Linked DNA regions of Saccharomyces cerevisiae S288C. The gene in region 3 interacts genetically with the main gene of each other region. Each region holds a gene or a part of one and is shown on either strand. Other genes may lie near its edges. The genes, in order: CHD1, MAK21, AIR1 and CDC50.

What was found.
Region 1: mutations in AIR1 (region 3) and CHD1 are lethal when combined (synthetic lethality), as found in Saccharomyces cerevisiae (3 studies listed by BioGRID, with this or other methods).
Region 2: mutations in AIR1 (region 3) and MAK21 together harm fitness more than expected from each alone (negative genetic interaction), as found in Saccharomyces cerevisiae (3 studies listed by BioGRID).
Region 4: mutations in AIR1 (region 3) and CDC50 together harm fitness less than expected from each alone (positive genetic interaction), as found in Saccharomyces cerevisiae (2 studies listed by BioGRID).

The regions. Positions count from the first base shown.
Region 1 is NC_001137.3:503,573-510,341, reverse strand, and holds CHD1 (chromatin-remodeling ATPase CHD1), read right to left. Parts: upstream 4,951-6,769; coding exon 544-4,950; downstream 1-543. Other genes in the region: GCG1 (gamma-glutamylcyclotransferase), read left to right, coding at 6,560-6,769. UniProt on the Saccharomyces cerevisiae protein: ATP-dependent chromatin-remodeling factor which functions as substrate recognition component of the transcription regulatory histone acetylation (HAT) complexes SAGA and SLIK. It recognizes H3K4me.
Region 2 is NC_001136.10:568,758-574,266, reverse strand, and holds MAK21 (RNA-binding ribosome biosynthesis protein MAK21), read right to left. Parts: upstream 3,619-5,509; coding exon 541-3,618; downstream 1-540. Other genes in the region: YDR061W (uncharacterized protein), read right to left, coding at 1-103; E2 ubiquitin-conjugating protein UBC5, read left to right, coding at 4,497-4,543, 4,634-5,033.
Region 3 is NC_001141.2:210,388-213,761, forward strand, and holds AIR1 (TRAMP complex RNA-binding subunit), read right to left. Parts: upstream 1,619-3,374; coding exon 536-1,618; downstream 1-535. Other genes in the region: threonine--tRNA ligase THS1, read left to right, coding at 2,112-3,374. UniProt on the Saccharomyces cerevisiae protein: Component of the TRAMP (TRF4) and TRAMP5 complexes which have a poly(A) RNA polymerase activity and are involved in a post-transcriptional quality control mechanism limiting inappropriate expression of genetic information.
Region 4 is NC_001135.5:284,800-288,494, reverse strand, and holds CDC50 (aminophospholipid translocase regulatory protein CDC50), read right to left. Parts: upstream 1,734-3,695; coding exon 558-1,733; downstream 1-557. Other genes in the region: OCA4 (Oca4p), read left to right, coding at 1-325; CCR4-NOT core subunit CDC39, read right to left, coding at 2,052-3,695.

The DNA.
Region 1 (6,769 bases), on a different chromosome or scaffold from region 3:
GATTTTTTTTTTTGAGTTTTTATTGAATAAAAAGCCAGATATTAGGTGGTGGTACCAGGGCCTGCTCTATGCTTCAAACGGTTATTAAGTAAAAATGTTACTTCGTAGCTCACTGTCCTAAAAATACAAAATCAAAACTAAAGAATTTTACACAAGAAAGAAGAGATATAAAATACAAGATGACACTTTCTATTAAGTAAAACAGAAACCTCTTTCCTTGGAACTGGAGCGAAAGAGAACAATTGTCCCAGAACTTGCGATGGTGATGGCAAAAAGCGCAAAAAAAATTTTCTTTGTAAAAAGGAAAGAGAAAAAAAAAAAGAAATAATCTTCGATTAACAGTTTTCGTTAAACATGATTGATCTATCTGCTTTGTGGCTTCATACAGTATGACCTCTTATATGGTCATAGTAGTAACTAATTAAGCATTATTACTTTACGGTGCCCTATAGTACACACACTTACACGCAAATATATATACATAAATACGTTTATAGTTATGGGGGGAAGGAACAATGGAAAATGTGGTGAAGAAAAATTGTTTCACTTCTTTTGAGACTCTGTTATCTTGTCGTACATTGCCATCAGCTTTGTACTCTTAACGTCGGCAGGCCAAAAGTTGGCACTGTAAGACCAAAGGTGCTTGCGATATTTTTCTGGGCTTGCCTTTCTCGATGAGCCCTTTTGCGATTCGATATGATTACCAATCGTAGTTAATTCGGTCTTCAAAATTTTGGCCCATTCCTTACGATCAAGACTTTTGCCGCCTCTTCTAAGTCGCTTCAAAGAAGTACGTATTGCACTCATTGTGTGTCGACAGTCTTCTTCATCCATGCTGTCATATTCTTTTTCGTGAGCGCTGCCGCTACTGGGGTTGCTTGATTGCCTTGTACCATTATCTCTGGAAACCTTGGACTTTAATGGGGGCGTGGGGCTGTTTGGAGACAATCTCGTGTTATTTATTAAGGCGGCAGGACCTTTTGGGAGGGCTTTCATACGTTTGCTTGGCGGGCCATTTGCAGGCTCAGAACTTGTAATTTCTGGAGTCATGGATTTGCTGTGATTAGCAGGTTTTCTTTGTCTCTTTTTGGAAGGACCAGTAGGGAGTTTTTTCGAGCCTATGTCAGCACTGGGACTCTTTGTATTTAGGCCTCCTCTTAAGAAGGATAATAGATAATCAACTCTTCTGCCCAAGTGAATGGCACCAGGTACTTTTTTTGAAGAACCCGTTATTCCCTTTCCTTTCTTTGAGGGTGTTGGTGTTGTATCAGAGGAGCTTGCCGACTTTTTTGCTACCGGATTGTGAACTTCATTCAAGAATATTTTATCAGTAATGCCTAGAAATGGATCGTCTCTTATTTGTGTCCAGGAACCATATCCATATTTGAAAACACCAATCAATAGCTTCTCATCTTCCTCTTTCGTCCAATTAGATGACCAATTCTGTACAGGCTTAGGTGTGTTGTTGCCTAGGCTAAACTTTAATGGATCATCTTTGTAGTTTGAATTTATCAAGTTCTTCAAGTACTTTAAATCCTCCACTCTACTTAGTAAAGATTCGGCGTTTAAAGATTTAACACCTTTAAAGTTGAAAAGGACGGCTTTCTTTTCTCTTTTTTTTAAAGATAATCTAGTCAACGGATTATCCTTTGGTTGGTTCTCTGCTTTTATTTCACCGCTTTTTAGCTTTGCTCTATAGGCGGTAGCATGCTTCTCAAGTTTCTCCAAGATTTCTTTTCTATTTTTCTCTTCCTCGTGTACACAGTCTTTAGCTGCTTCCATCATTTCATCGTAAGTTTCACCGTATTTTTCAAATGATTTGACCGGCAGGGTTCCATCTGCAATCAACTCGTCCAAAATCTCCTTTAGGTTGCCAAATTTTAAAATAGCTTTATACAAAGCTCTCACCTCCGATTCACCAATAGAGTCCATGTCATTAGCTCTTGCTCTTCTTCTAGAAGATCTGGAAGTACTATCGTCGTCAGAATCTGAGTTTGCGGCGGTCCCATCACCATTAACACTGTTTTTTATTTTTTTTAGGGCGTTATCCCTTCTATTCATCATTTCAAGTTGTTCTTTAACATATTCTTCATCCTTGCGTTTCTGCTCTTCATCTTGGAGTTTTTTTAGTTCTTCTTCTGGAATGATATCATCCCAATCTATATCAGCTTTATAATCAGTCACTTCGAATTGCTTCAAAAACTCTTCACCGCCAAGATGCGACTCTCCTAAGTCTGGAGTAGTAACGTGATCCTCTGCATGATTCAAAACATCATCCAAGTTAAGATCCTCCAATTTTTTCTGGTTGTCTGTGGCAGTGAACATATTGCCTGCACCGAACTTCAGGATTGCCGATAATTCACCGGCATTTGGTTCATTCTTCTTAGTGTATTTGTTACCATCTGTCACTCCAAGAGAAATAATAGCATATTCCAGAATCATTTTCTTCCGTGCTCTTTCTAATACCTCTTCCTCTACTGTGTCTTTTGAAACCAACCTATACACCATAACGTGATTTTTTTGGCCAATACGATGAGCTCTAGCCATTGCTTGTAAATCGGCTTGCGGATTCCAATCGGAATCAAAAATCACAACGGTATCGGCGGTCATTAAGTTGATACCCAAACCACCAGCACGAGTAGAAAGTAAAAATACGAAGTCGTTTGAATCCGGAGAGTTGAAATGATCAATAGATATCCTTCTTTGAGCAGATGGTACTGTACCATCTAACCTTTGGAAGTTAATACCTTTAATGGATAAATAGTCGCCTAAAATGTCAAGCATTCTGACCATTTGTGAAAAAATCAACACGCGGTGCCCATCTTTCTTCAATCTGGTCAATAATTGGTCTAAAAGAACCATCTTACCCGAAGACATGATCAAACCTCTTAGTACGTTTTCTCGAGTCATTTTACCATCCCCAAATTTCTGTAAGACGCGCTCTTCAGCATTATCGAAGAGATATGGATGGTTCGATGCCTTTTTCAACTCGTTCATAATATTCAGTAAAGAGAAATGACCCCCTTTAGCTCCAGCAGTTAAAGCAGAGTAGTTTTTAGTCAGAATATTTTTATAGTACTCAGTCTGTACGTCGGACAATTCAACTCTTAAAATACGCTCTGTCTTTGATGGAAGTGATTTTTCTACGTCTTTCTTCAACCGACGAAGAATAAAAGGCTGTATTCTTCGGTGTAAATCATGAATATATTCTTCTTGCTCTTCATCTTGGTTTTCAAAATCAATCTCCTGATCAATCGTAAACCTTCCGGGCATTAGGAAATTAACCAACGCAGCTAACTCTTTAATATTATTCTGAAGAGGTGTGCCTGTGATTAACATACGGTTGGCGACCTTGAAACTGTTTAATGATTCATAAAGGGATGATTCAGCATTTTTTAGTCTATGAGCTTCGTCAACGGCCATAAATTGCCATTTTATACTTCCTAATTCAGCACGATCCTTTAAGATGTACTCGTATGTTGTTAATAAAACATTAAATTTCATTGTTTTTTTCCCTTTTGCCCTTGGATTGGTGTAAAATTCATATTCTCGAATGGTATCTCTTGATTTTTGGTTGCCCATATAGCATATACAATTCAAATCAGGCGCCCATTTCTCAAAAGTATCCAACCAGGCAGGCATTGTCGATAAAGGAACGACAATGATGTGAGGTCCGTTTTGTCTACGAGCAAATATCAGCCAACTGATAAAGGCGACAGTCTGGACCGTTTTTCCCAGGCCCATCTCATCTGCCAGTATACCATTATCACCTTTGGACCACAAAAATGCCATCCAATTAATACCAGTTAGTTGAAAATCTCTTAATTCCCCACCTTTAATGAACGGAGGTTGCACGCTTAACTTCTCAAAACGCGGTCTCTGTGAAGTATAATTACTGGAATATTGTGGGAGGATCTTAGAGTTTTCTCTGTTTTGAAAATGTTTCACTTGTTCAGGTGCCAATTTCACGATATCTGTGGCATTCTCCCAAGTAGCCTCGTCGTAATTTAGACGACGCCATTTAACTAAATACTGTAATTGTGAGGTGCCGTCTTCCAACGAAGCACGTTGGCTATCAATAATCCTTTCTGGCACGTGGAACTCCTCAAATTCATCAAGCCTACGTTCACGTTCCATGTCCATGATCTCTATATCTTCGGCGGTAACGTATGGATCTAATCTTACTTGTTGATCTTCGATGATGAATTGCTTACAATAGTTGTCCAACCTCTTCAATCCACGGACTTGGCCAATGGATTCATAAGTTTCCCAGGTATTGTGGAGATGAGATTCATCTGTCCATTTGATTAAGAATTCATAATTTTCCTTGCAGTTATTGAGGTCAGGAACAGTCTTTTCCAAGACCTTTCCTTCTTCCAAAGATGTCTTTAGTCTGTGATTGATAACAATATCAATACCGTGGAAGTCCTCTGGTTGAGGATTGGCAGATGCTTCATGCACATTTTCCTCTGATAAAGCCTCCTCGGAACCATAGTCATCTTCAGATTCTAAGAGGTCATCATCGCTATAATCGATGTTATAATTTACCGTTTTGTTTTGACGATTAGAAAACCTTGTTGGTATTTTCACTGTAGATTGCTTTTCAGATTGAGATTTTGGCTTAGATTTAGACTTTGATTTTGTTCTTGATTTCGGTTTTGATCGATTTTGTTTTATAGGAGAGCCATAATAATCATCATCTTCTTCAAAATCTTCCTCATCTTCGTCCTCTCCAGAATCTTCTTCGCCTTCTTCATCTTCAAATTCGTCTTCGTCGTCTTCAATCGTGGTCATTCTCTTCCTCCTCGACTGTTTAATATTATCTTCATCGTCCTCATCATCGCTATCGTTGAAGTAGTTTTGTTGATGCGCAGCAGCTCTATGTGACCGCCTCAGCCCATATAGTTCAGGATTTTGCAGCACTTCAGTAGAAATATCCTTGGCTGCCATTATAAGTGAGAATTAAATTAGAAAAGGTTCTGCTTTGAATTGGGTATAGGTTTAAAGAAATAACGGAAAAGTCTTGAAGCAAATGAAAAATAAAAACCTTTGAGAAACTTTGTCGTTAGTGAATAGGTAAGCTAGTGGAACTCAAGTACGAATTAAAGAAAATGATGGTCGATGTTTAGGCTTATTCAATTTTCTCCTTTGGAAGAAACAAGTATGTGTATATTCACAAAAGAAGTAACGGAAAAGAGAAGGTGACTTCTGCAAGCTTGCTTATCTTGACTTGATAACCCCAAACTTTTATCAACTTGACTTAGATGTCCGGACAAGAATACGATAGTACTAACCAGATATAATGAGGACAAGATTCTTCTACACAATGTTTCTCGTGGTACAGTTTCGAAATTGAAAAGAAGGAAAGGAAAAAAAGTAAAATTATATAACGAGAGGGTAACAGTATGATAATCGACTACTGAACTATGATCTGTTCGACAAGTGTTGCATATTACATGTCTTTAATGGTATCAATAATTGACATAATCTTATATCAGTAATGATATCAGGAAAGAACTTTGTAATGTTTGGGAACATATGTCCTAGTGTAGGGATGGGATGTGATAAGGATCGTGGGATGTTAAATTTATTCTCTTAGATGAAATTGCCTACACCTTCTGGACGGTTGATAATTAAGTTTTCAACTTTAGCGTGTTTCATTTTCAAAATATTGAAGAAGTGGCCTACCAGTGATATCCAACCGATGCGCGAGCAACACGCAAGCCCTTGGCTTGTGAGCAGCGTTTAGCTGACCGTATTACGCATTGATGGGCTGAGGAAAACATACAGGCAATCATGTCTTTTGATTTTGGCAACGTATGATCTTTTACCGTATATGGGGCAGTAACATATCATCGAAGTAAAAGCTAAAACAAAGAAAGTTAAAAAAAATAAACGTACAACATAGAAGCTTACCTTTCAAGGATATCTCAAAAGTATCAAATATATCACGGTGACTTCGGCCTGCGAAAGAAGATTTTCCTCGAACGGTGAAATACTGAGATGATCCATAAAGTAATGAGAGTGTTCTCGCTTGTATGGTTCGCTGACCTATGCCACCCGTGTTTCTCCATTGCGCAGAGGCTTCCATATTGACCACTACGTAGTGGCAACTTAAAACAATCAAAAATCGTTTTCTTCCTTAGGACTTGACTGCTTCGTCTTAAGATTATTGCCAGAAATTGAAGACAGAAAACATCAGTGAGAGGGGAGGGAGAGAGTGTCGCAACGTATGACCTCTTTTAAAGGCGTATGTCAACCAGCGGTTATCAATAGTTCCCTTGTGTTAAGGGAAGCTTGGAAGTTGTCACCAACACCTAGCAGACTTTTCTTCGACGTCCTCCCTAGTGGTTTATATGAAGAGAATGAGAAAATTTGCCACTCCAGTAATTTTTCCTTTTTTTTTTTTTTGGATTCGCCAAGGAGCGGGATAATTGGTATTCTGGGTAACGCTAAAAGGTAAGGTCAATATTAGCTATGAGTTTAGTCTCGAGGTGATTTAACCTTGGAAGAAGCAATCACGACGTTGGTTTGGGCTTATAAAAAGTTGTATGGCCAAATGACTAATGACAACAGTGGTATCTGGGTCCTAGGCTACGGATCTCTGATTTACAAGCCTCCGTCTCATTACACGCATAGAATACCGGCAATAATTCACGGTTTTGCTCGTCGGTTCTGGCAAAGTTCCACTGATCATAGGGGTACACCTGCAAACCCAGGAAGAGTGGCCACACTAATCCCGTATGAGGATATTATAAGGCAAACTGCC
Region 2 (5,509 bases), on a different chromosome or scaffold from region 3:
CGAAATGCCTAATCCTCTTAGGGTAAACAGGTGGACTGTTGCTAGCCAGTGATGACTTGAAGAGCGCATTCGTTATTCGTACAACGAACTTATTGGTACTCATAATTAAAAAATCTTTCACAGAATATTAATCAAGTATTCACAAATTTGTTTTGCTTACTGCAATTAGCTAACAGAAAATTGTCGCTACAAATGTGCCTATATAAACAAAATGGTTAAAAATGAGTTCTGGATTATTTATTTCTAATAGGAGTCACGTGGTTCCATCGTTTTTAGTTTCGTCTCACGATGTCAGCAATCTCGGCGATTTCAACTGACATAGTTGTAGCTAAAATCCGTTTCTATTTCCGCATTACTCTTTTTCCGTTTACTCCCGCTCTAATAATGTTGAAAAGCGGACATAAGTAGAGTTATCAGCAAAACTCTGATATGCGTCTTTCGCTTCAAGGTTTCGTATTGGACCGTTTTTTATTGTACAAAATTCTGTTTTCCTTATTTAATTTACAACACCGAAGTGTTTAGTTAATGTATTATTATTTTCTAGTCTGAATCTTGATCTAAATATTGAGCATAATCGTCGGCAGATGCAAATACCGGTAGACTTTTGAGCATATTCTTTCTCTGCTTCTTCTTTGCTCTTTTTGCGGATACCTCTTTATTTTCTTCTTCTTCTTTTTCTTCTTCGCTGCTCTCGTCCTCTTCACTACTTTCAGCGAAGGAACGTTTTTTATCACTATTGTCTTGTTCTCCATCGAAACTGTAAAAAATATCCTCATCGAGGCCTTCTTCTTGATCGCTTTCTTGGCTGCCTTCACTTTTAGCATCTTCATCATCAATTGCGTCCAGCTTAGGTTCATCGTCACTAGTTGAATCGCTGAAATCATCTTCAGCGAAGTCAAGTTCACTGTCGTCGCTATCATCTTCAACATCTGGTCTCGATTTAACCAAAGCACTCCAAATTTCATTTTCATCCATTTCGTCATCACTATCGAAATTAGATGCTTTGTTAGATTTCTTTCCTTTTCCATCAGCGGTTTTCTTGGTAGTGAAATATTGATAAAAGAATTTATCTTCAGGTTTGATATCTTCAACTTTTTTAGTTAGCCAGTCTTCAGTGTTCACGGGACCCTGGTCATGCATAATATCAGATGCCTTAACTAAGACAGAGTCATTAACTCGTGAGCCACTAAACAGAGGTTGCATAATAGATGTACCTCTTGCTGTATTGGTCTGCTTGGCACTTCTGTAGACAAATCTGTCAAGGAAGTGTGATAGAGTAAATAGACCCAGGTCTGGTTTAGCTATTTGCTCTGTTTCTCCTGTCACATAGGCGTTTGCATATGTTTTCACAGTAGGATGAAAATGATTGATGAAGTTGTTGATTTCCCATAAAGAAGATTTTTCAGCATTGGCGAACTTTGGATCACGCTTGCGGCCGTCGTATTCCTTCCTTTTTATGTCCTTGTCCCCTTGCTCCTCTTCTGCATCAGATTCATACTCGTAATCAACTGGCGTGTTGGTTAGAAGATTTTTTATTTGTGGAACTGTTTTAGCCAACTGGATTAATAAGAAGAAAAAACCAGTAATGGTGCCGACGTTCAACCAATGAGAACAAACTTGAAGAATTCTCTTGACAAAGGCTTCTACTCGTTCAACGTTGAGTGCATCTTGTTTTAATGATTTGTATAGTAAATTCAAGTAAATACCCTGCTTAGAAGAGTTCACCAGTCTGGGGTCAAATAAACTTTCGTATAATGTTCTATAATATCGATCACTGTTCAACTTTGCTTTGACGGTGACTTGATTAATCAAAACTAATGCTTGGATTGAGGTGTTAAAGTTAGAGGAGTGTGTGATTTTGAAAAGAGTTTCCATATGTACTTCATAGACAGACGCTGGAATCTGAGCGAATGGGAATGCACGATTGATACCTGTTAACAAAGCACTGAATAATTTTGAGTTCTTTTCATCTAAAACTTCATTTTCCGTTTTTTCGATTTTTACAGATTTACCACCGTGTTTACCCTTTTTAAAGTTCTTCTTTCTTTTCTCCTCATACGACTTTGAGTTACTCTTAACAACGCCATTGGTATTGTCTTTATCAGTATTAATCAAGAATTTTTCAAACAAAGTGAAGTATGTTTTTACTAATTTATTAGCAACAGAGTCTTCTGATCTTTTTAAGATGGTTTGGTTTAAAGTAATAACAGAATAGTAAGTGGTATGATAATCCGCATTCGGTCTCAATGCGATATCAACGATAGCATCAATGACAATAGATTTCATATTCGGATGAGCTTGTTCCAACTTCAGTAGTAAATATGACGCCTTCGAAGAAACTTTGGAATCAATATCACCAATTTTATTTACACCTAATCTCAATAAATTAAATTCCTGCTCTGGTTGGTTGGTCAATAAATCAAATACATGATTTAATATTTGTAATCTAACGTGAATAATTGGATCGTGGGAAAGCACTTCCAAGACTTCTAAAACACGAAAGAACAGTTTCTTTAAATAATCTTCGAAATAGAAAATTGCAAGAGTTTTCTTGTTTAGCATCATAGATAAGCCAGGTTGATTTTTGAAATACCTCAGCTTTCTGTTGGGCAAAAGACCATTTAAGAATAAATCCTTCAAAGCGTTTAAACTCTGTAAAGCAGAGTTTCTCGATTTTTTGCCACAATATGAAACCAGAGTTTCTAAAGACTTAGTGTTATGCAATGGCGAATCTTGAATGAGTAAAGTTACGGCAGATATTTTATCGTTGAGGGTACCGTCCGATAGGATTTGGGACATGAACTTGGCCTGCGATGAGTCCTTTGTAAACTCCTCATAGTAAGTTTGGTTGTCAGCTTCTAGCGTTTGCTTACCTCTTTCAAAAAGTTTCTCAATCTGTTCCTTGGATAATTCTTCAACATCATCATTTTGTCCAACTTGAGGATCCAATGGAATTTCATACCATGGTTTATCGTAAGGAATAATAAGTTTGTCAGATGAGATAATAGTAGTTTGAGTAATTAAACCTCCATCTTTCTCCTCTTTCTTTTCTTTCTCTGCAGATTCTGATTCTGGCTCTTGGTCTGAACTAAGATTAGCCTCTTCTACTGTGTTTTCTTCTTGTTCACTGCCATTATCGATTGACTCTTGGGAGGTTTTCTCTATTGTCGATGATGCAATGTTTGATTGTGCATGTTCCTTCTCTTGAGCGGGTATTTTAGATTCTTTGGAGCTAGTGGATTCTTCTTCTATATCGTCATCGTCTACATCTTCGAGTTTGTGTTGGTCAAATCCTACATTCTTCATGAAATTTTGAAGATCGTTCTTGAATCCCTTGTCGTCAGCATCCTCGTCAGCGACGGCATCAAATTCCTGTTCGCTCTTAGCGTCATCATCATCGCTTAATCCTTGAATCAATTTTAGATCTTCTTCGCTGGCACCCAATGCTAGTGCTTCACGACGTATGTCCTCATTTACCTTCTTTGAATTACTACTGGCCTTCACGTCCTTGCCTTTGTGGGTTTTCTTCGCCTTTTTGCTGTTATTGTCTCGCAATTTTGACGAAATCTTATTTCTTAGTGAAGACAAATCCAGCGGATTGCCGTTGTTCTCACTCATTATTTTTGATTACTGTACCAACAAAGACACTGGAGAGGTTTAATATCTATAGAAATTTATCAAACTATAGAATTTCGCTTCCGATGTGTACGACATAATGCTTTCTTATTCGCAACTCCATTACTTTGGCATCTCTGATAATTTTTTACCTCATCGCCAAAAGAAAAAATTTTTCATTCTGCAACGGGTAACGGAATACAGAGGCAAGAGAACGGAAGAACATCATATCGGCGGTTATTACTAAACAGTATATGTCCAATCGGTTTTGGAAATGAGATTTTCTTATTAATGATCTGATCTTAGATTATGTTGGGCAATACGCGTTATACAAAAGATCTGCTATTGCATGTGGTGAAAGTTATACCAACATTTTTGCTTATATGAAATCATCTGCAACAACCAATTGGATAAGGATAGATTTCTCAAATATATTAAATTATGTCTTGGTTTACTTACACAGAAAGTCCCAAAGTACAGATGAATTATACTAGGGTTGTGTTCATTGTTCCATGAGAGGCTGTACTTTTTGCCTACTTATTTTGGTACTCATTCATTAGGCTCATAAACCGATTTTTCTTATATTGTGCGTAATTCAATTAGATATCTAGATGTATTGCTAGTGCTAGTACGGTGTAAACTCTCGTAGCAAGCGCTTTTGAAGCATGGCTGTGGTGGAGGTAGTTGCCACTGCGAGCGGGTAATAAAGCGGCTGCCGCCTTACTCATTTGTACCAAAGATAGCCGACCCAAAATTATAAAAAATAATTGTATCCCGGATTTTAATAGATGGTTGGAGTTTTATTTTCCAAGGTCAGGACTGCTTATTGACTACCATCTTGAAAAGTCATTTTCTGCTCACCACCCTCAACTAAACTAAAAATGTCTTCCTCCAAGCGTATTGCCAAGGAATTAAGTGATTTAGGGAGGTATGTTAAAAATAAAATGAATGATTTTTCTTGATCTGTAAAGAAAAAGGATTACTAACATGAGTTTCTTTTTTGAACTTTTTTCCGAAGAGATCCTCCTGCTTCATGTTCAGCAGGACCTGTAGGGGATGACCTGTATCATTGGCAAGCCTCTATTATGGGTCCTTCAGACTCACCCTACGCTGGTGGCGTTTTCTTTTTGTCTATTCACTTTCCAACTGATTATCCATTCAAGCCACCGAAGGTAAACTTTACGACCAAAATTTATCATCCGAATATTAATTCGAGTGGTAATATCTGCCTTGATATTTTAAAGGACCAGTGGTCACCGGCGCTAACCCTTTCAAAAGTTTTGTTGTCTATTTGCTCTCTTTTAACAGATGCTAATCCCGACGATCCTTTGGTCCCTGAAATTGCTCAAATCTACAAGACAGATAAGGCTAAGTATGAAGCCACCGCTAAGGAGTGGACTAAAAAATATGCTGTTTGATTAATTTGGGCTAACGGATAAATTGTGTAGACTTACCTTCCTCAGCGCACACATCAATATATTATATATTCTTTACGTATACAAACACGCAAATTCTTATAGGTATAGCGATATTAGTTTGATCAATTCCCATCACGTACCTTGCTTTCTATTATTTACTCTTTCTCCTGTACCTGCTACTATCAATTAAAAAAAATTCTCCGCGACGGGGAATTGAACCCCGATCTGGCACGCGACAAGCGCCCATTCTGACCATTAAACTATCACGGAAGAAACAAAGCACTCACGATGGGGGTCGAACCCATAATCTTCTGATTAGAAGTCAGACGCGTTGCCATTACGCCACGCGAGCTACTATTTGTCGGAAAAACATTCTGATTCATCTAGCTAAATGATTGTTTAAAATATGCTAAATTTCTCACCAACCTTTTCTCATAATGAGCCTAATATGAACCGCTATTGAAAATATGTACAAG
Region 3 (3,374 bases):
TAACAAAACGAACAACATGAGACAAAACCCGACCTTCCCTAGCTGAACTACCCAAAGTATAAATGCCTGAACAATTAGTTTAGATCCGAGATTCCGCGCTTCCACCACTTAGTATGATTCATATTTTATATAATATATAAGATAAGTAACATTCCGTGAATTAATCTGATAAACTGTTTTGACAACTGGTTACTTCCCTAAGACTGTTTATATTAGGATTGTCAAGACACTCCGGTATTACTCGAGCCCGTAATACAACAGAACATATGAAATATCTGGTCTCTTGGCCCAGTTGGTTAAGGCACCGTGCTAATAACGCGGGGATCAGCGGTTCGATCCCGCTAGAGACCATATTTTTTTGTACAAATCTCTTCTACTACTGCTAAGACAGTAAGTAAGAAATACGAGACTCCAACAATGTACTTTTTTTTTGCTTTGTACTGCTCTATCGATACAAAAAATCCCTATAAAATAAACATATATATGTTTGCTGCAATGAGAATGGAAAAAAAATTAAAAAAACTCACATATAATCTCAATAACGGCCATTTCTTTGGCTTTTGTTAGAAGATGATCGGCCCCTCTTATTCTTAGGACCCTTGGGGAAGTCGTCCCTATTATAGCTGAACTGGCTCGAATAATCGTTCGTTCTGTTGTTTTGGCTACTTCTGGGGAAATCTAAGGGGTGTGTCTGAACTCTTTTATTTTTCGTCACTTTGTAGTTCTGTGCGCTAAATGGTGACTTCTTCTTCCTGTTATTACTGCTTTCATATCTATTATTGCTACTATTTTTGTTCCTTGTTGACTGCACTTTGCCCTTCCATTTCATTTTATCTCTATAAGTCCTTGAGCCAGGGAGGTCGTATGCATCGTCGTTATATTCATAGTCAAGCAGGTTGAATTCATGTTCGTTATCAAAGTGTTGCCTTTGTGAAGCTTCACGTTTATAGTCTTTCAATTGGTTAAAATAGTGTTGTTTAAATTTTGTGGCTAAGTTATCACCGCAAAATGCACTTCCATCAGTGTTCGGCACTCTCGATGACCTTCTTTCAGCACAGTCATCGCCAAAATGACCGGCATTCCCACAGTTATAACAGAAAACTGTTTGAAAATCGAAGTCACCTTGGTTAGCATCTTTTGTTTTTAATAAATAAGATCTCCAAATACTAGGACATCTTTCTCTTGAGTGTCTTTTGCTATTGCAAAGCGTGCAGAACACCTTCTTCCATTTATGAGGACACTGTGATTTATAATGGCCGTTTGCATTACAATTAGTGCAAATAATAGCCTTAGGGCAGTGTTGTGAGTAATGATCATCCATAAACCCGCAGTAAGTACATATCACATGGGGACAATTCCTTTTCAAATGACCTCTTTGCGAACAATTATTACACTTTGGCTCTGCCTCCATTATCGCACCGTTTGAGTCATAATCTGTTATTCCAAAATACCGTCCTTGGCCACGTAAAGTCCTCAGTTCCTCTGGGTTAGCATCTACATCCTCTATGGAAGGAGCCAATAATTTATTAAATGATGACGAGTCACTTCCTGTCGGTGTTGTATCCTTCACATACGGCAAAGTATCGATACTTTCTACCTCAGATAACAATGTCGACATAATATCTTAGCTCCGTGGTCCGCTTCCTTTGTATTCCTCATGTGAGAATGTTGGACCTTTCCCACTCATCGCATCGCTAATTTTTAGTAATTTTTCATTTTTTCATGGACCAAGAAATTGAAAAGCCTGTCAATGAGCTTTAACAGTAGCAAGAAACAAAGACAAAGGACAAGCGCCTATGGAAGTCACTTTAGAAATATTGAAGTCACATTTTCATATAATATATAAATGAATTTACAGATGTGCCATTGTATATGCTGACGCAAACGCTTTCTTTTTACTGTTTAAATGACTCTTACCTTGTGATATGTATAAATCATCATATACGGCTATCTTGCTAAAAAATTTTTTTCGAGGAATTTTCACTTGAAAAAAATACTTGCGATGGCAACAAAAGAAAGTTAGATAAATCGTGCATTAAATGATGTGTCATCTGAAAGATTACAGGTTAACGAAAAATTAACAGCTAACAGAGCAAGAAAATAAAACGGAGATGAGTGCTAGTGAAGCAGGTGTCACTGAGCAAGTCAAAAAGCTGTCTGTCAAGGATAGTAGTAATGATGCCGTAAAACCAAATAAGAAAGAAAACAAAAAATCCAAGCAACAGTCCTTGTACTTGGATCCTGAACCAACTTTCATCGAGGAAAGAATTGAAATGTTTGACAGATTACAAAAGGAATACAATGATAAAGTTGCTTCTATGCCACGTGTTCCATTGAAGATTGTCTTGAAGGATGGAGCCGTTAAGGAAGCCACTTCTTGGGAAACCACTCCGATGGATATTGCCAAAGGAATTTCTAAATCTTTAGCAGACAGGTTATGTATTTCTAAGGTTAATGGTCAATTATGGGACTTAGATAGACCATTTGAAGGCGAAGCCAACGAAGAAATCAAATTAGAACTGCTAGATTTCGAATCTGACGAAGGTAAGAAGGTCTTTTGGCATTCGTCTGCCCACGTCTTGGGTGAATCTTGTGAGTGCCACCTAGGTGCCCATATTTGTTTAGGTCCTCCAACTGATGATGGGTTCTTTTATGAAATGGCTGTTAGAGATAGTATGAAAGATATATCTGAATCTCCAGAAAGAACCGTCTCCCAAGCTGATTTCCCAGGATTGGAAGGCGTTGCCAAGAATGTTATCAAGCAAAAGCAAAAATTTGAAAGATTGGTCATGTCCAAAGAAGATCTTTTGAAAATGTTTCATTATTCGAAGTATAAGACTTACTTGGTACAGACAAAGGTTCCAGATGGAGGTGCTACTACCGTCTACCGTTGCGGTAAATTGATTGATCTATGTGTCGGCCCTCATATCCCACATACTGGGCGTATCAAAGCTTTCAAACTATTAAAGAACTCTTCTTGTTATTTCTTAGGTGATGCGACAAACGACTCTTTACAAAGAGTTTACGGTATCTCTTTTCCAGACAAAAAATTAATGGATGCTCATTTGAAGTTCTTGGCGGAAGCCTCTATGAGAGATCACAGAAAGATTGGTAAAGAACAAGAATTATTCTTATTCAATGAAATGTCCCCAGGTTCTTGCTTTTGGTTACCTCATGGTACTAGAATTTACAACACTTTGGTTGACTTGTTGAGAACCGAATACCGTAAGAGAGGTTACGAAGAAGTCATCACTCCAAACATGTACAACTCCAAATTGTGGGAAACCTCAGGTCACTGGGCCAATTACAAGGAAAACATGTTTACTTTCGAAGTAGAGAAGGAAACTTTCGGTCTAAAACCAATGAACTGTCCA
Region 4 (3,695 bases), on a different chromosome or scaffold from region 3:
GCCTCAGCGGCTTTTGACATTAATAAATCAAATCGAAACCAAAGTGAAAAATAATAAAGTATTACAAGTAAGTGGAGTTCTAGGAGACGATTTGAAGAAAACCTCTTCTGACCTAGGAATTTTTGGCCATAGGTATAGATTAGCATTTAATAAAAAAGAAAATGGAGATTATGGCTATTATAAAGCAAGGGGAAAAGATAACGTCAAAATAAGGATACCCTGTGATTCTGAATTACCAGATTGGTTCAGGTTTCAACGAGATTTGTGGGAAAAAGAAAACGTTCCGGAAGAGCATCACTTTTATAGGGAACATATTTTTACATAGTTTACATTTTTACGTATATGTATAGATGATTTCATGATAAACGTTTTCCACTTTTCTATCATTTCATCATCTAAATGGGAATAGCAAACCCTGGGAGTTCTTTGTCGCACTATTTTCCAAGCGTAAAAAGGCATACTTCAATTTTTCTTTTGTTTACGTTTCAGGAAGTCAACAAAACTTGTTTACTTATAAACACAAATACCTACAGGCACTAAAGTTTGTTTTTTGGCCTCTATAAAATTTCCCTCAATGTTGTATTCTCTGCGTGTACATCCTCATAATCCTCGTTTTCTTCATCATCAAAATTCAAATAAGTGTGATCACCCATCGCTCTTGGTTGGAAGATTAATTTAACCAAAAAAATGATGCCAAATAAGGCGCAAAGCCCTGCAACGATGAGGTACAGTACGCCTAGTGACATATTTCTACCACCAATAGCTCCATTTGTAGTCAGTACAAATGATTTTGTGCCACCAAAGAGTGAAATCGGATAATTCAACTCAATGTTCATTTGATATTTACCCTTCGGTAAAGAAGCAGATTCATTTTTCAACGTCAACTTGTAAAACTTGGGAAAGGCTGCAGTCCTCATCCATACCTGGAACTCTTCCCAAGTATGGATATCAGGAAGATTTTCATCTGTATACCCATCGGGATACTTCTTCATCCAGTTTGGCGGTGGAACAATATCGCTAGCATTATACTTGGTGGTTTTAAATCTGTGACGATCAATACTCCATGATATATGCTTGTTAGTTAAATTATAGTCTTCTGTGTCATCTATACCACTCAACACCTGAGAAAATGTATCATTAAACATGGAATTAGCGATCAACCCACAGGGATATATTATTTTGTCTTCCCTACTTCTTATTGGACTACAGCTTGTATCCAGATCATCTTTTTTGATAGGCTCCCCTAATATTTGCTTTGTGTCAAACGATTGGACATATCTGCGATGATTTTGATAAAAATTGGTTATTTTATAATATATAAAAATGGATTTCTTGATATCGTTTGGGATTTCGAACTGCAGTTCGCATGATTGTTCGCCATTTTCATTTTCGGTTAGCCTCCATTGTGGTTTATTTTCAACTTTACTTTTAAAGTGATATTTAATGTACTTCTTTGGTATATCTTCAAAAGCAGTTGTAGATGCTTTTGTATCACAATGACTATAATCAATTGTTAGATCTTGTACCTTAGTAGCGCTTACAATGAGTCCAATACCAATAGGAGTAAATATACATGCAACGAATATTAACAACGGAAGCACACTTTGAGGAGACAGTATTGGTTGCCATGCCTTAAGCCTTTGTTGTCTAAACGCTGTGTTAGGAGGCTTTTTAGAAGTGGGGCCTTCTTTCGTGAGCGGTGGAGCCTTACCTCTTTTGAACAATGAAACCATATACAAGCTGTTCTATAGAACTTCAAGTTCGATTACTCAATTATTCTTTGTTCGCAGTGCGTCATGGACATAAGGTAATTGCAGCTCTTGTTTGATATAAATTGATGCTCATTATTATTATTATTCTCCAAAACAATAATACGGGTAACACTAATTTTCAGTAGTTCAAAAGTGAAAGCGACCCATATACAGTAAGAAAAGTTAATCGAAATTGCTTCTATTCTTATTCAAAATAGTATTCTCTGAAATATAGTATTATACAAGTTATATTTTTTTTTCTGAAATCATGATTTTCGTATATAAATAAATGCAGTTTTTTTATGCGTTGGATTGTAGAGGGGTTTGCCTTCTATTGATGGTGGCGGATTGGTCATCTTGTTCACTGGTTGTGTATTTTTTGGAATATTTTACTAATTGTTGTAAAATTAGTTTAATTTCGGGAACACTTTGTACAAAGGGCAGGTCTAAAAGATTAATATCGTTATTGTTTATCAACTGAGTAAAGAAAACTGAAACACCCCAGGTATGTGGTTTGTTAACAATAATTCTTTTTAAAAAGTTTCTTAAAATAATTTCTTGGACTTCAAGTTTTTGATCATTCCATTCGTCACTTTTGAACATATTCATTAACACAAAGCTGAACCAATAGGTGTGGATGTTTGGATACCGCAATTGTTCCACAATAGACAGAATAATTTGATATTTCATTTCGATGCTACCATTTTGAATCAGATTGAACAATAAAGTATAATAAGAAGACTTCGTATTAAATACCGCATTTGAAGAAGTTCTCTTATACTCTATTCCAGCTTCAATGCCCACATGTAATACAATAGCGCGAATTAATTTACTATCAACAGATAAAAAGTCGTAGCCTACGCCCTTTTTTATGTCATAGGTATCCTTGTAAATAGCGCTTAGTATTGTTCTTAATAATGAATTTGAGGGAATACGTAGGTAGTTGTCAACTGGCTTTTTCAATGAGTGTAAATCAATTACAGGATCAAAGAAGACTTCAGGTAGTTCTTTACATGCTGGAATATCCTCCATATTAAGATCCACGTCATATGGGTTGGGAACGGTCATATTCTTAGGAATAGCAGATAAAATAACATTCTTTAGTTGGAAATATGTTGGAGGTAGATTGTTCATTAATTCATAGTGATTTTCAATCAAAAAGGATGGCATATCATTCGAAATGCCTAAAATAACACGCAGTGTTCCCTTATAAACAACCGAAACAGCGTCAGAGACTGCATGTTTACTTGTGTATTGGTCCAAAAATTTAAACAAATCGATAATCAAAAGCATTAACTTTTCCCAACCTATTTTATTGGGTAATCTTAGCATAATTGGTAATAACATTCTGTGTGATAATAGTGTCACCCATGCAAATGAGAATCCAGGGAAGGCAAATGGTTGCAGAGCGTGCAAATATCCTGAGAAAGTGTTGTAAAATACAGAATCAAATTCGATCAGCTCCTGCCTAGTGCTGGAATCAGATATTCTAACAAAATTGTGCGTCCTGATGGTAGCCCATTCGTATAAGATGTTAGAAAATAGTCTGAAATATGGTCGTTCATTGAATGTGGTACCCTCTTGGCTATGATCCTTAGCAAACACTAAAACGATCACAGAAAATATTGCATTTATGTAATCTCTTCTTGTATCATCTTTGAAACCCTGTAAAATCAACAATTTTATAATTAGCGATCCTAGAGCATCAATAGCGATGAAAACCTCATCAGTCGGGTCACTTTCTTTGAATGAAGAAACTGATAGCTCAAGAGAACTTTTGACAAATGTAAGTAAATTATCAGTATCGCTGATAACACCCTTTTCGACTAATTGCTTGATAAAAACAGTTGTGATTACGTCGTTATTCTCAACTCTTTGAAGTAATTTTACCCATTCCGTAAATACTAAGTAAAGCTTTTCTGTTCTTGTGGTTTTGGTACCTTT